Notamacropus eugenii: one gene and its partner. The main gene of each other region encodes a partner of the protein of the gene in region 2 in a complex. Links are inferred from orthologs where the notes say so. Each region holds a gene or a part of one and is shown on either strand. Other genes may lie near its edges.

The links.
Region 1: LSM6 (region 2) and LSM8 share a complex: the UniProt entries of both Homo sapiens proteins name them as parts of the precatalytic spliceosome. The link is inferred for Notamacropus eugenii from reciprocal best matches to the Homo sapiens genes LSM6 and LSM8.

The regions. Positions count from the first base shown.
Region 1 is NC_092874.1:134,579,158-134,586,960, reverse strand, and holds the start of LSM8 (LSM8 homolog, U6 small nuclear RNA associated), read left to right. Parts: upstream 1-4,796; 5' UTR 4,797-5,030; coding exon 5,031-5,061; exon of another isoform or gene 5,062-5,540; intron 5,541-6,066; coding exon 6,067-6,107; intron 6,108-7,743; coding exon 7,744-7,803. UniProt on the Homo sapiens protein: Plays a role in pre-mRNA splicing as component of the U4/U6-U5 tri-snRNP complex that is involved in spliceosome assembly, and as component of the precatalytic spliceosome (spliceosome B complex).
Region 2 is NC_092877.1:143,185,268-143,193,087, reverse strand, and holds the start of LSM6 (U6 snRNA-associated Sm-like protein LSm6), read right to left. Parts: upstream 3,007-7,820; 5' UTR 2,883-3,006; intron 2,077-2,882; exon of another isoform or gene 1,847-2,076; intron 1-1,846. UniProt on the Homo sapiens protein: Plays a role in pre-mRNA splicing as component of the U4/U6-U5 tri-snRNP complex that is involved in spliceosome assembly, and as component of the precatalytic spliceosome (spliceosome B complex).

The DNA of each region.
Region 1 (7,803 bases), on a different chromosome or scaffold from region 2:
CACCTCCAGAGAGAAAACTGATAAACTCTGAATGCAGCAGATTGAAGCACACTTTTTTAAACTTTATTTTTCTTGGTTTTTCTTTTGCAACATGGCTAATATGGAAAAATGTTTTGCATGACTTCATATGTATAATCAATATCATATTACTTGCCTTCTTAATGAAAGAGGAAGGGAGGAAGGGAGAAAGAGAGTTTGAAACTTAAAATGTATTTTAAAATTTTACATGGAAAAATGTTAGCTAAAGCAATAAGATAAAAAACAAAGTCAAAAGAATTCAAGTTGGCAATAAGGAAATAAAACTATCTTTCTTTGCAGATGATATGATGGTATACTTAGAGAATCCTAGAAAATCTACAAAAAACTAGCTGAAACAATTAGCTTTAACAAAGTCGCATTAGATAAAATAAACCCAAGCAGGAAGTAAAATGGACAATTTTTATTCCATGAAATTGAAAATGTTTTGCACAAGCAAAATCAATGCAGCCAAATTTTGATGGAAAACAGGAAACTGGCAGGGGGGAAGGGGGTACAGAGAGGGAATTACGGTTTCTCTGATAAAGGAGTCATTTCTCAAAAATATAGGGAACTGAGACAAATTTATAAAATAAGAGTCATTCTCCAGTTGATACATGGACAAATTACATGAACAGACAGTTTTCAGAAGAAGAAATCAAAGTCATCGATACTCACATAAAAATTCTCTAAATCAGTATTGGTAAGAGAAATACACATTAAAACAACTTTGAGGTACCACCTCACACCTAACAGGATAGGACAGGAAAGGAAAGTAACAAATTCTGGAGGAGATGGGGGGCAGGGGCAGGAAGGGACACTAAAGCATGTTGGTAGAATTGTGACCTAACCTAATCATTCTGGAGAACAATTTAGAATTACCCCCAAAGGGCTATATAACACAGCATACTCTTTTAGCCAGCAATACCGCTACTAGGTATGGATTCCCGAAGAGATTAAATAAAGGGGAAAAGTTCTTGTGTATACAAACATTATTACAGGAACTCTTTCTGTGGTGGCAAAGAACTAGAAATTGAGGAAATGCATTGGGGAATGGCTTAACAAGTTATGATATATCATTTTGACGGAATATTATTGTGCTATAACAAAGGACAAGCACAATGCTTTCAGAGAAACCTGGGAAGACTTATAAGAACTCATATAAAGTGCGATGAGCAGAACCAGGAGAACTCTGTACATAGTAACAGCAATAGTGTAACAATGATCAGCTATGAAAAACTTTTCTACTGGGATCAAGACAGTGATCCAAGACAATTCCGAAGAGTCATAATGAAAAATGCTATTTACTACTAGAGAGAGAACTGATGAACACTGAGTACAGATTGAAGTATACTTTTTTAAAGTTAATTTATTTTAGTTTTCAACATCCACTTCCATAAGTTTTAAATTTACTCCCCTCCTCCCTTCCCCCATCCACAAGACAGCATGCAATCTGATACAGGCTCTATGCATATATTCCTATTAAAAACATTTTCACATAAGTCATGTTATATAGAAGAATTAGAACAAATGGGAGGAACCATGAGAATGAAAAAAACAAAACAAAGCAAGAAAATAGCCTGCTTCACTCTGCATTCAGACTTCATATTTCTTTCTCTGGATGTAGATGGCATTTTCCATCATAATTGCTGCAAAATTACAAAGGACAAGCATGGTCCAAAAGAAAGGATATGAGAAAACACTCTTAGCCCACCTCTTTGGAGTGGTGGCTAGTCCATGAGTGTGGTACCTGGAACATATTTTCACAATTTGTCAACGTATTGATCAGTTTTGATGATTTCTCTTTTTTCCATCTCATAAAAATGACATTTGTTATATGGGATGGCTCTCTGGAAGACAGAAGGAGACATTGGGGAAATTTTCGTGATGTAAATAAACATCAATAAAAATTTACTTTAAAAAAGAAGAAGGTAATCTATAAGAAAGACATGCCCTAAGTATAATTGTTCATAAAGTAATTATTCTTGTGGTTATATAAAGAAGTGTGCCTGCAGAAAACATCATCTGCATGGATATCTGAGGATTATCTGTTAAGAAGAGACCCAGATGTTTTAGAACAAAATCCTGGGGCACAATCAAGAGTTGGAGGGGAGTGAGACATAGACGACAATCCAGTAAAGAAGTAATCAGATAGGAAAGAGAACCTAGGGAGATTATCATAAAAATGGGGAAAAGAGATTTTGGAACAGCTTCTGTGGGGAGTGTCAGAGAGAATCAATTAATGATGAGTAAAAAGATTGTATTGCTGTAGGTGAGGGCCCAGTTGAGATCAGATAATTTATATCTGCATTGAACTCGGTCTACATAGTTGAATGACTTTCTCCAGCAGCAGATGAAAAGAAGCAAAGGAGGGAGATGGTGGGAATAATCAAGGGCTGAGGTTTAGCAAGACAGAGGCAACAACAGGATAAAAGGATAAGAGATTCAAGAATAGAGGACAGTAGAGGACAAAGTAGGAAGAGAGAAAAATGAAACCACAGTGCCCTGGAAAACTAGGTGGGAATGAAAGGACTGGAGATCATGGTGAAAACAAAAAATGGGATTAGGAAGATCATAGAGTCTGGAGTTGATCAAGACATCTTAGAGGCCACCTAGTCTCAACCACCTCATTTTGCAGATAAAGAACTATGGACCAGAGAAGTAAAGTAATTTGCCCCAATTTTACACAGATAAAAGTAGCTGAAATGAGCTTGGACCATATCATTCATGTTCCATACTTATTTAAATGCCTTTCTTCTCTATAATGCAGAAGTACAGAATTTGAAAATTTGAAGGAACTTCAGCAGCCATCTAGTGCAATCCATACCTGAAAGAAATCCCATTATAAAATATTGAACAAGTATTTTAAAGACCTCTAAGAAAAGAGAATATTTCCTTATATCAAGTTTAAGTCTGACTGCAACTTTTTAAATTGTGTTAACCATAAGGGAGCATAGTATGCCAGTCTGACCAGGGCAGAGTGGGGAAGAACTACCATTTCCTCATCCCTGGAAGTTATTCCTTTGATGCAGCCCAAAAGCATTTTTTCCTTTTTCTGGCTGCAACCACACTATGGTGACACTGACTCAAATTTCCAGATCTTTTTCAGTCAGACAACCTGCTCTTTAACCATACTTCACCTGCCTTGTACTTGAACTTGTAATCTCTATTGGGGAAGAACTTTTATTTTTCTTTATCCCCTTCAGTTCCTTCTGAACCTTACTGTGCTTTACACAAAGCTGGTTCTCAATAAGTACATGGAGAAAGAATGCTAACTAATAATATACTGTCTCTGGGAAGCCAGCTCTCATAACTGGGTTACATGGCATTGTAGCAAAGGCAGCTAGAGGGCATAAAATACAACCAGACTCTAATTCTGGGTCTCCACTAGTTTACTTTGTAGTTCTGGTCAAGTTTGCTTTACTCTGTCCATTCTTTCAACTGTAAAAGGGGCAAGCTGCATAGAAAAAATGAAGAAAATTAGGAGGTAGGTTATGGAAGAGGGTGCTGGATTCCAAAGTCAGCTGAACCCTTGTCTTTGCCATTTTACTGTCTGTAACGCTGGGCAAATCACTTGACCTCAATTTCTCATCATCTCTAAAACTGAAGGGCTGGACCCAGATTTCTTCTAATATCCCAGTTCTAATCTACTAATCATTGTTTTTGAACGTATGTTGCAAGTATCAGTTACCACCCACATGGTGAAGTAGATGGAGCGCCAAGGACGGAGTCAAGAAGACTCATGTGAGTTCAAATCCAGCCTCAGATAACGAGTTATGCAACCCTGGTTACCTTAGTTCGTTTTCTGTAAATGAGCTGGAGAAAGAAATGGCAAATCACTGCAGTGCCTGTGCCAAGAAAACCCCAAATGGGGCCAGGAAGAGGCGACCATACGGCAATGTCTTTCCCCCTCCAGTAAGACAGTACACTGACTGTAACGCATTAGAATCTGAGGAAGATTGTGCCCGTTTGGTGACACTTTGCATTTCTGCTGCGGGGCGGGGGGAGGACCACAGTCCCTGCAACTCAAGCGTCACATCTGTGCGGTGATGGAGACGGAAAGGGAGGCGGGAGGAAAATCTGCGGTCAGATAAAGCCTGAGACACTGACGGTGCGAGCTGCCCGGGGTCGCGCGGGTAGAGATGGGCACAGGAGCGCCCACCTCCCTGGGCCGCCTGCCCGGGGTCGCGCGGGCAGAGATGGGCACAGGAGCGCCCACCTCCCTGGGCCGCCTGCCCGGGGTCGCGCGGGCAGAGATGGGCACAGGAGCGCCCACCTCCCTGGGCCGCCTGCCCGGGGTCGCGCGGGCAGAGATGGGCACAGGAGCGCCCACCTCCCTGGGCCGCCTGCCCGGGGTCGCGCGGGCAGAGATGGGCCTAGGAGCGCCCACCTCCCTGGGCCGCCTGCCCGGGGTCGCGCGGGCAGAGATGGGCCTAGGAGCGCCCACCTCCCTGGGCCGCCTGCCCGGGGTCGCGCGGGCAGAGATGGGCACAGGAACGCCCACCTCCCTGGGCTGCCAGGGCGAGATGAGATGCAGATGCCATTTGTAAAGTGCTTTGCAAAGCTTAAAGCGTTAGCTTATTAAATTCCTATACCCTTCATGCTTTCTGTGAATAAACCTCTATGCCTTTCATACTTGTAATGCGATGAAAATCTCACTGCTGTTTTCTTTCCTTCCAACTAACTTTTCCTCAAAGCTCCCCCCGTCTCCATTTATTTCGGCTCTCTTCGTTTTACTCCGCCCTCTCCCGCTCCACGTGATCCCCAGGGAACCGAGGCATCCTGGGAGGACACGCAAAGGACGCCTGCGCACGAATCGCTCTCTGCTCCTTGGAGAGGCAAAGGAAGGGAGAAGGCGGGGCGGGTGCCGCGGTAGCCTTTACTCTCGCGATCCTTGCTTCCTTGCCGACGGAAAGCGTCCGGGTGTTTGCAGTTCTTCCGGGCCGTGTTCCTTTTTCCCTTCTCTGTTCTTCTCGGCGCTTGGCGCAGACTCCGGAGCGCGCGGCCCGACCATCATGACGTCGGCTTTGGAAAACTACATCAACCGTATCCTTGAGCTGCCGCCGGGGCGGCGGCTTTGCGCCCCCTCTTCGCGTTCCCCCGCCATGGTTGTGCGGGGCATCCGGAGCGGCGCAGTGTTTTCTGGCCTAGGGAGCGGAGCGGGCCTTGGCGCGGCCGGCCGGGAAGGGGAGGAGCGAGAGATCCTGGCCCGCCTGCTGGGACTCGGGAATCCTGCGCGGGCGAAGCTGTGCTCGCCTTCGGGGCCCGTGCGGCCCGACCCTCTTCGGGGCAGATCTTAATTGTGGTTCTTTACTTCTTAGCAGCCCCCCGCTCCCTCGCCCCCCCAAAAAGGAACAACTTTTCATGGGCCGAGCGGCCATCTCCCTCCTCCCGCCAGCCCCCTCCGTGGCCTTGGCAGCAGCGAGCCGAGCTAGATGCGAATGTTTGGGTGCGGGCCTGGGTACCTCTGGCAGAAAGAAGAAGGAGATCACGTCTAAATTAAAACCAGAAAAAGCCCATTCAAGGTTTCAATCTTTCATTCTTATTGCCTGGTGGGTGCCAGAGTAGAGCATATGGCTTGTGCTTGGGAATCTGCATTTACTGGTAACTTCTGTGGGCTTTCATCGCTAGTTGTAGAGGGAGTTAGGTGAGGAAAGTTGTTTGTAAGGTGGCACAGGGCCAAAAGTTGGAAAAAATACCCTGTAAGAGTAGTTAAACTTTGTAGCTGTTTTAGGGCAGAACACTCGAATCACATAATTGAAAGAGTGATTTTTTTTCCCCAAAGAAAAGCCAAAGGTATGATTGAAATTCTTGTAAGCACTGTTGTTTTCTGGTTTGGTTTGTTGGGTTTTTTTTCTAATGGTATGTTTTTATAGAGTTTTCAGACCTTCAGATCCACCTTTTATATAGGAAATTTGGCATATCTGTGTTCACCCGCTGTGACAGTAATATTTCAGATTTTCTGTCAAATTCAGGTTTTTTTTATCAGGGCTTAAGATTACAGCATTTGGACTTTCCTAAAGAAATACTTCCTTAATCCTGTTTTATCAGGTACTGTGGCTGTAATTACATCTGATGGCAGAATGATTGTGGTAAGTGTTCAGTTCTACACTATTCTGTCATCCCAGAGTGTTTTATTTGTTCAATACCTGTGTCACCATGAGATGGTGTGATATTTTTACATTTACTGCATCAGCTGAGCATTATGGATACAGTGTTGGTCTTGGTATTAGAAAGACCCAGATCCAAACCCTTCTCCCTGACTCTTTTATCTGTTGGACCATAGACAAGTGGCTCTCCAAACCTCAGTTTTCTTATGTGTAAAAGGAGATAATGTATATAAAAGGCTTTCTAAACCTTTAAGTCCTATATTAATGTCAGCTGTTAGACTTTTCTCATAGACTGTTTAACTTATACAACACTTGCCTTCAGCATTCCTCTCACTCTATTCTTAACCTTCTGCAATCTGACTTCCAACCTTATCCAAGTGAAATTGCCCTCTCCAAAATAGCATTTAGGCATGTTCTTTGTGTTCAAAGGAGCTCCAAGTTTATTGAGAATTACAGACTTGACAAATAAATTTCAATACCAGGCTTCTCTTGTGAAATATTTTTTTTTATTTTGCTTACTGACTTTGTTTATTAAATTTTTCCTATATTACTATGTGGATGAAGTAATATAATTTTTTTATGAAAGCCCAAGATAAAAATATTTCTTTGTTAATTTTAGCAAAATTAAAGGAAAAGTATATTTTCTGGAAAATTTTACACACAAAGAACACATAAAACAGCTTAAGCCCATCTTTGGAAATATAGTTCATGTTACTTGCTACATTCAAACATGCCTAAATGCTATTTTAAAAAAGTTATACATGTCCCAATAGGCTCTTTTTTTGTTTGTGATAAGCTAGTCAATAGGTGAATTGGTTGCTAGTTAGTTTTTATTTTTTAAAGCATGATTTCTGCAAACCCTAGATTTAGTTTTCTTCTTTTGGCATTGCTTTAAAACTGAATATACAGAAAATTAATAATAAATTGAAACATTTAACAAGAGCCACGTAAATTTAAATTTCCTCAGAAATTCTGCCAACTCTTTTTTGCTCTTATTTTTTTTGTTTTATTTTTTTTTGCTCTTATTTTAAAATTAAGTTTATTCCATGAAACCTTCTCATCAGGCTCCACTTATTTTATAAAACACAGTACATTTTTCCTTTGAGAAATTATAATTAATCCAGTCCTTTTTTAAAAAGCTTACTATATCATATTTTTATTTGGGTTCATTAGGTTACCTTTAGAATATAAATTCCTTATATTCAGGGACTTTTATCTTTATATCCCTAGCTACTCCACATCATCTTGCACAGAATGAATATTTATCAAACTTAATGGAATATTAGCTCTTGAAAGGTGCAGTGACTGTGTATTGTCCTTCTGTACACTCACAGTAACCAACACAAAAAATATTTTATATATTTTTATATAGCTCTTACATCAGAGCTTTCTGTAGACAGTTGGTACTCATGTATTTTTTTTTCCTTAATAAAGAGTTTTATAACCTGAAATAATGGCAGTTATAGAGGATTTTTTTGTTTTTATTTTTTAGTGTTAGAAAGACTTTTTAATGTGTCTTATTTGCATTTGAGGGACTAGTTTTCTAGAATTACTGTATATTATATACTGAACTTACAAATTGAGATGACTTAAAAACATTTCATTATTCTTTTCGCAGGGAACACTGAAAGGTTTTGATCAGACCATCAATTTGATTTTGGATGAAAGTCATGAACGG
Region 2 (7,820 bases):
TTCTCATGGTTTCTTCTTTTGGTTCTAACTCTTCCTTACAACATGAATAATGTGAAAATGTTTAATATGAAATGTATATGTATAGCCTATATCAGACTGCATGCTGTCTTGGGGTAGAGGAGAGGGAGGGGGAGAAAATTTAGAACTCAAAATCTTATGGAAGTGAATACTGAAAACTAAAAGTGAATGAATGAAGAGAGGAAGAAATGAGGGTCCTGAAACAGATGTCCTCCAAGGTCCTTTCAGCTTTGTGTAAAAGATAGCTAGGTGCTAGATTTAGGAGTCGAAAACAGATGGGTTCAAATTCTACCTCTGATAATAGCTTTGTGATCATGACCAAGTGACAAAATCACTTTTAGCCCCAGTTTCCTTAGCTGCAAAATGGAAATAATAGTATTTGCAGAGACAGGATGATGGAGTAAGTGCATAGAGAGTTGGCTTCAGAGTCATGGAGATAAGGATTGTTGCCAGCCTTCTGTAGTGGCTGTGTAACACTGGACAAATCACTTAACCTGAGTCCTCAGACAAAAAAAAACTACAGAGCATGCCAGTTCTGCAAGGTTGAGGAAGTCTCTTTACTCTGGGTTCCCTTTACCAAGAAATCATAGAACCGGTTAAAAAAAAACAACCCCCCCAAATTTTGTAGAAATAATAAGGCCTAACAAGGTGACTGACTAAATAAGATGCTATGTGTAAAACCTTTGAAAATCTATATGAAAATCAACTTAAAAAAAAAATTTGTGACTTGAAATTTCTTTGATATAGACAAGTAATTCCCTGTGAGAAACGTCCTCTCTACCAATGCTGATGAGTAATCTAGGAAATTAAGTGACTTGGCCAGGGATACACCAAAACTTGGATACCAGTTTTCCTGAGGATGGCTCTCTATCCACTCTCCTACCATAAAATGCAGTCTCTACTACAATCATCAAAAATATTATCACATCCTATAATGTTTGACTAGTTAAGGTTAGGTCTGAATTCTACTATTCCTTTTTCTTCACCTCAAATGTGATGTAGGTTTGAGTAATGCACTTTAACTACTAACAAAATCCAAGTGTTGTAATTTTCCAAAGAGATCTTAAAAATCTTTATGTTAAGTACTAATTTCAGACAAGGGAATATTTAAATCTTGAAAGGGATTCCACACCAAATCAGTCTCTCTAGATTTTCAGTTCCAGTCAACAATATCTGTTTCATTAAACTTTTTGTATCTGTGGTCCTTTGGATGGCTAAACACACAGGAAAGCGGGCTGGATCTGAGTCAAAATACTAATAATATACAATGTAACAAATATGTTACAGGTATAACGCACTGACGTCCAAGAGCATTTAGAGTTGTATTAATGCACTGTGTTGGTAATATGAGCCATTCTCCAATGTTAGGAAAAGTGCTTCACAAACCTTCAGTGATGGTACAGTGCTAGCTATTATTCCCATTCTCCTTCTGGTCCCCACAAACTCTCTCTTGTCACTAAGGATCACTGTCCAAACCCACATGCAGAATGACTGCACGCCAACCACCTGTATCGTACACACACATTCCGCTCTCCGGGTCTCCCCAGGGGGTGGGGAAATCACTTCGCTTCTGATGATGCACTTGGAAGACTCCTAACGGTTCTGTAACTAACAGTTCAGACAAACAGAGGAGCTCACCAAACAGTCCCTGGAGAACACCCCCAAAGCGCGATCCTCACAAACGCCCAACCCCAAGCTCCCCCAGACAAGGAGTGGCCACAGATCCGTAATAAAAACTTAACTCCAGGCCTTTCAATAGAAACTAGGACCCAAAACCACCTCCAGAATTGGACCAGAACAGAAAAGCCAGACCACACCCCTTACCCACCTAAAGAAGTGGGCTCGAATCAAGGAACCAGAACTGCCGGCCGGGACCCCGCCGACGGAGGCGGGGCAGCTCACGGGGACCAAGGGGGCAGCTTTCTGGGCCGAAAGCGTGCTCCAGCACAGCCGCGCCGGGGCCGGCACCGGGGGGGCAGGCACCCAGGGGGGGCAGCTACGAGAGGAGCAGGCACCTGGGGGGCAGCTCCGAGGGGGGCCGCCCCGAGTCACGTCGGCCCCCCATCTCCTAGGCCTCCCCAAGGGCTGGGTGGGGGTCACTGGCTCCGTTCGACTCTAACCCGATCCCCGGACCTACTGACGCGGAGGGAAGGGCGTCCCCGAGGGACGGTTCTCATCCCAAACGGAACACGCTGCGGCCTGTCCCGGGTGGACGCGGCCTGTCCAGGAGGATCCGGGCGCTAGCCGGGCCTCTGGCTCGGGGGGGGGGGGGGGGTGTCTTCAGGAGCCCACCATGTTCCCTGCTTCGTGACAGGAGGGAGACGGGCGGGGCAAAGGGGGCTTAGCTTCGTGGGGTCCCTTCTCGGAATGACCGTGACGTCAGAAAGTCAAACGTCTACGATTTCGAAGGAAATCCTAAAAACGGCCACAGTTAGCAAAAGTGACATTTTTTTCCAAAACGAGCTCAGGAGCCCCGGGGAGCAGCTTTCGACTCCGAACCCGAGCCCCCCGGGACCGCGTCGGCCTGGCCGGCCGGGCCTCGGCTCCCAGCTCGCCCGTTCCGGCTCCGGGGCCGGCCTGCGGCCTTCCTTCCCACGCCGGGGCTGACAAGGCCTCCGGCCGCCCCACGGGGTCGCTTTTCACAGACTGCCGGGGGTCACGGGGGGTGCATTGGACTTTGGGAGGAGGGGTCCGCCGACTCGGAGGACCCAGGAGCGCCCAGCCGGGAGGCCCCGAGAGGCCCCCGGAAACGTTCGGGTCACCCCGGAGAGTTCTCCCCGGAAGGCGCCGCCGCCCCCTGCCCCATGGGTCCCTCAGACCTCGCGGGCAAAGCCCAGCACGCTCCCGGCCCCGCCGCAGCTCACCTCTAAGCTCCTCCGGCCGACGCCAGCCGCGGCCTCGCCTCCGCCTCCCGCCAAGAGCGCGCGCGCTCCCGCTCCGGAGCGGCCTGGGAGCGCGCGCCTCCGCCGGACCAATCGCGGCGCTCCCGGGCTACGGTCAGCCCGCAGGGACAAAATACTGCGGTCTGAGTGTACCTAGTGCTCTTCGGGAGAGCTTGACTCCCGCTCCTCCCCCCGCTGTTGTAACTGTGGTGGAGCGGCCAGGGGCGGGGCGAAGGCCTGAGGGGCGTGGCCAGAGCGACGAGGGCGTGGCCAAGACCAGCTAGGGGCGGGTTTAAGGTAGGGGAGAGTGCCTGTGAAACACCTAAGTGCAGCTCAGAGGACCCAGAGGGCAGAGGCTGTGGGTGTGGATAATCACGGATTTAGAGTCCTTTGGGATAATAAAACCGTGCGAGAGTTGGAAGTTACTGGGCCAGGGGGAGGGGGGCGGGGTTAAGGCAGCATTCAGTCTCAAGTTTTATCCGCTCACTCACCTAAGATGCCTAGCCCAGAAGGCAGTTGAGGGAGAGGAGGAGGGAGAAGCAAGGGGGGGAGGAGGGAGAAGCAAGGGAGAGGTCAGAGGAGGGAGAAGGAGGGGATACAGAAAGAGGAGATAAAAGAAAGGGGGATAGAGAAAAAAGACTGAAGAATGAAAAGGTAGAAGAAGGGGTAAATACATAGAGGGGAGAAAGAAGGAAAAGGAACCAAGGAGAAAAAATGGAGAAAAAGCGAAAAGCATGGAATGCATGCATAGGGTGCCCACCCACCCACATTGTAATGGTGTCTGTTCTCTCCTGTCTCTGGACTGACACCCTGCAACCTTTACACTAAGTTCTCAGAGAAGAACCACGAAGATGTTGGTTGGTTACATGGACAAGGTTTGGGGTTGCTGGGAATCCCGACATTTCAAGGTTCAGAGTGGTATCTGCCTGGAAAGAATTCATGCATTCAAACCTTCTTCCAGTCAGGTGACAAGGTTTATTGTAACACCAATAGGAGTGGGGGAGATTCTTAGGGAATCTGTACTTTCATGGGGGTGAGATTTACGCTTATATACAAAAAAAAAAAAAGGGACAATGAAAAGATATGGACGCGATTAAGGAGGGGCAAATAGCTTGGGGTGGGCCAGGTGCAATAGTGACAGGAATAAAGTAGTCTGGGATGAGTCCAGAGTGACTGTGAAAGATGGGTCGGGTATCTAAGTGGGCTGGGCTGGGTGGGACTTCGGTGATCTGGGCTGCTAAAATGTATGTGAAAATTCAGGGGCTAAGCTGCTTTCAAAGACATAGTCTTTTGCTTTTAGGATACCAGGTCCCACCACCCTGTCAATACCAGGACTCTCACAGAACCCCCTACTCCTGACTTTAGTCCTCATTCTCCCCTTTGGTGTGCTTCTGTGTACATAAGTAGCCACTAACATTTGGTCTTAAATGTAACTACTTACTTAGCAATAAGACAAAAAGAATGATAGCCTCATAGATAACGCAGTAAAGCAAATACAGAAATCATAAGTCCATCCAAATCCATCTATAAACCTGAGTTACTCTCTCCCACCAAGGCACTCAATATCTAATGGGAAAAATGGGCCAGAAGAACAAGTGAGGAAATCCTCACAAAGAAAGGCTCACAACTCTAGAACCGTAAACACTGGTGCCCTCTTTTTGTCACAGGAACCAATCATAAAAGTTCCTTGATGAAAATAACCTCCGGGTTAAATGCTTCTACTCCTAAGTTGATTCATACTGTTCTTAAGAAAATGAATTAAGTTATGGGATGACTTCACTGATTTGGTGAAGCTCCCAGGCTAGCTCAGCTGAACTTACTCCTCAAGTGCAGCTGTAGTATCCATCACTTCCAGTTTCAGACTTTGCTGATGCTGTTCTCAAGTCTACTTTTCTTATATATCTGCGTTCTATGAGTCTTTTAGCTTATGGTTAGTAATCAAATATTTATCTATATATAATTAGGAAATTTACTTTTGTCATAGAGCAATTTTGGTATCCATATTTTCCTAGTCATTAACCTAAACAGTTATCCAATTTTTCATATACATATATCACTGAAGCTTACTTTCTCTGTCTGCTCCAGTACTTAATAGCTAGTCACATTCAAAATGAGTAAACTGCTGCTTCAGGACTCTCAAAGTAATTTTCTCAGAACTCAGAGCACATCTGTGCCTTATACAAGTGAACTATTAATTTAGGAACTACTTTTTCTCAAAAGCAGACTCATCTTCCAAATACATAAACTGTTATTCTCTTAAAGGGTCACTCTCTTAGAAGAAATAGAGCGAAACAAGAAAGAAGGGAGAAAGAAAACTGAAAGATACTAGAGATTGTTGGGTTTGCCCTTTGTTCTCAAAGAGGACCATGACATCATGACTTGCAGCTGACTTTGATTTGAGTGAGGGAGGGCTCTGCAAGGTCACCAGCCTCACTTTCTCCTCTTGAGCCATCTGGGTCCAGTGGCCTGATATTCATGAGGAGGGCTGGAGATGGCCCCACTGGAGAAAGAAAGAGATTGAGAAAGAGAGGAGAAAAGGCAAGGTCAAATTTTTAACCTGCTGTTGAGGGACTGAAGTGTGGGTAGGGCTAAATCATTAGCAAGTTATTGTTACCATTGCAATAATACTGGGTAAAACAAATGATTTTAGGGGTTTTATGTATTTGTTGAGTGTGGTACTGGTGGGGTATGGTACCTGAACCTCTAAAAAAGGGGAAAGATCTTCAGTCCTTAAGCTTTCTCATACATTTGAGCCCTGGTCTTTCCCCGAGGCACCTGATCCATCTCAGTATAATCCTTTCAACTGTCCTTCCTTTGTGGCGTTCTGACCCAGCCCAACCTTTCATTGTCTGCACCTGCCCATCCCAGGCTATTTGCCACTACTTGATCCCATCCAGATTTTCTGTATGAAAGTTCCAATTTTACTCCTCATTACATTGAGCAGATTCTTAGAATCTTGGCCACCCAACTAGTGTCATAGTAAAACCTCACTAGTCTCACTCGAAAGAAAGCTTGATTAGTCATATTCTTTGGAGGCAGACATGCCCTGTACTCTTGCATTTTGGGGTTCCTAGAACCCCTAGACTGCATCATATTTGGTTCTCTGACCACTACCTTCAAGAACCAGTCCTATTGTTATAACAAGGCCTCGGAAAAGGACTTAATTATTAATGACGTACATTGATTTAGTCAAAAATGTTGCATAGACCATGCACAACTATGGGAATCTAATTTATAAATTTACATGAATTCTTATGTTTACTCTAGTAATATGGGAAATAAGCCAGCAGTTGAGAGCGGAGAATACTCCACTACCGCCTACACAAATTGGATTCCTTTTTTTCTATGCACTTAGCTTAATCAATGGAAGAAAACAAATGCTAGGTTTTGTTTAGGGCTTCCAACAGAGAGATAAGAGAGACTTTCCTTATATTCCCAGCTCGTGGCTGGATTTAAAAGAGGCAGCTTGGTATAATGGAAAGAACACAGAATTTAGTCAGAAGACTTGAGTTTGAATTCTGCCTCTGACAGAATCTGGGGCAAGCTATCTAAAATTAGAATGGGTTGCAATGAGAAGTAGAGGGCTCTTCATTGCTTGAGGTCTTCAAACAAAGACTTGATGACAAATATGTTATACAGTGCAGTTTTTCAAATTTAAGTTGGATTATGTAGCTTCTGAGGTCCCTTCCAGTTCTGACATTCGATGGTTATGTAATACAGTCCCTTTTAGCCTGCATTCTTCTCTCTTAAATGAGAAGGTTGGAGGACATGATCCCCAAGGCTTCTTCCAGTTCAAAATTCTGTAATCCAGTGCTTCTAGATCTCTATCCTCTCCAATCAACACAACACTTATTTTTGTGCGTGTGAGCATGGACCAAAAGAATACTACAATGAATCTTTACTCATTACTAGGCAAAGAATGTGATAGTTTTTCAGAGATTTGGTGTTTGTTTTTTTGGAAGGGAGGAGAATTCTTTTCCTAAATCTATAGTTTGGGATATGAAAACCAGAATCACAGCCAAATATTTATCTTTGCGTTCAGACATCTTTATTTGAAGGTCTTTTGTAATAAGGGCTGCAAATCTCTAGAGCTATAACTAGGGTCAGGTGATTGGAGCTTTGTTTCAGAATGCTAAAATTAAGCAGGAATTGATAGCACTTGCTTGCCTTTAGCAGAATAGAAGCAATTGAATTTAACATCTAGTTAGCAAGGATAAATAGTTAAAATAGGAAGCTACCAGATGTCTTCCCTTGCACACATCATCTCCCCCAGAGGTGGTTTTACATTGTTTCAGAATCTCCACCTAGAGGAAACTGCGCTCTGGGGTCTCTATCTTTCCCTGAGAGAGTGGTATTCTTTCGGAGTCTCTCACCCCACAGACTTAATTCGTCTTTAAAAGTTAATTGAAGGGTATATTTTGTTCCAGTTGCCCTAAGTACTGGAATGGCTAGGAGTCACTCTGCCAATCTTTTCCCTTAGATCAAATACCTGTATGAAGAGTCACTAGCTTTGTCTCTTTCCCCCCTTTTTAGAGATCTTTCAGAAAATTTCCCTGAGATAATCTGAATGTCCCATTCCTGTTATATTGGAAGAAGATATGAGATAGAAAGACAAATGGGGAGGGAGCAGGTAGTCTCCCAAACTCAACAGAAGGTAGCACACTACTCATGCATTTGCGGAAAGAAGAAGAAAACGTGATTGACCCACCTTAAGCCATCAGGGAAGGGAAAACAGGGATCCTTTTTGAGTCTTGAAAAAATAAAATGTTTCCCATAGCACCCTGAGAGGTCTTATGGTCCTTGAGGCAGGTGGACAGGGATCTATGGTACCTATGTGTATAAAAGTAAGTTTTAAAAGAACTTAGTTGCTGTGAGGGTCAAATAATATGATATATGTAAAGCTCTTTGCAATCGTTGAAG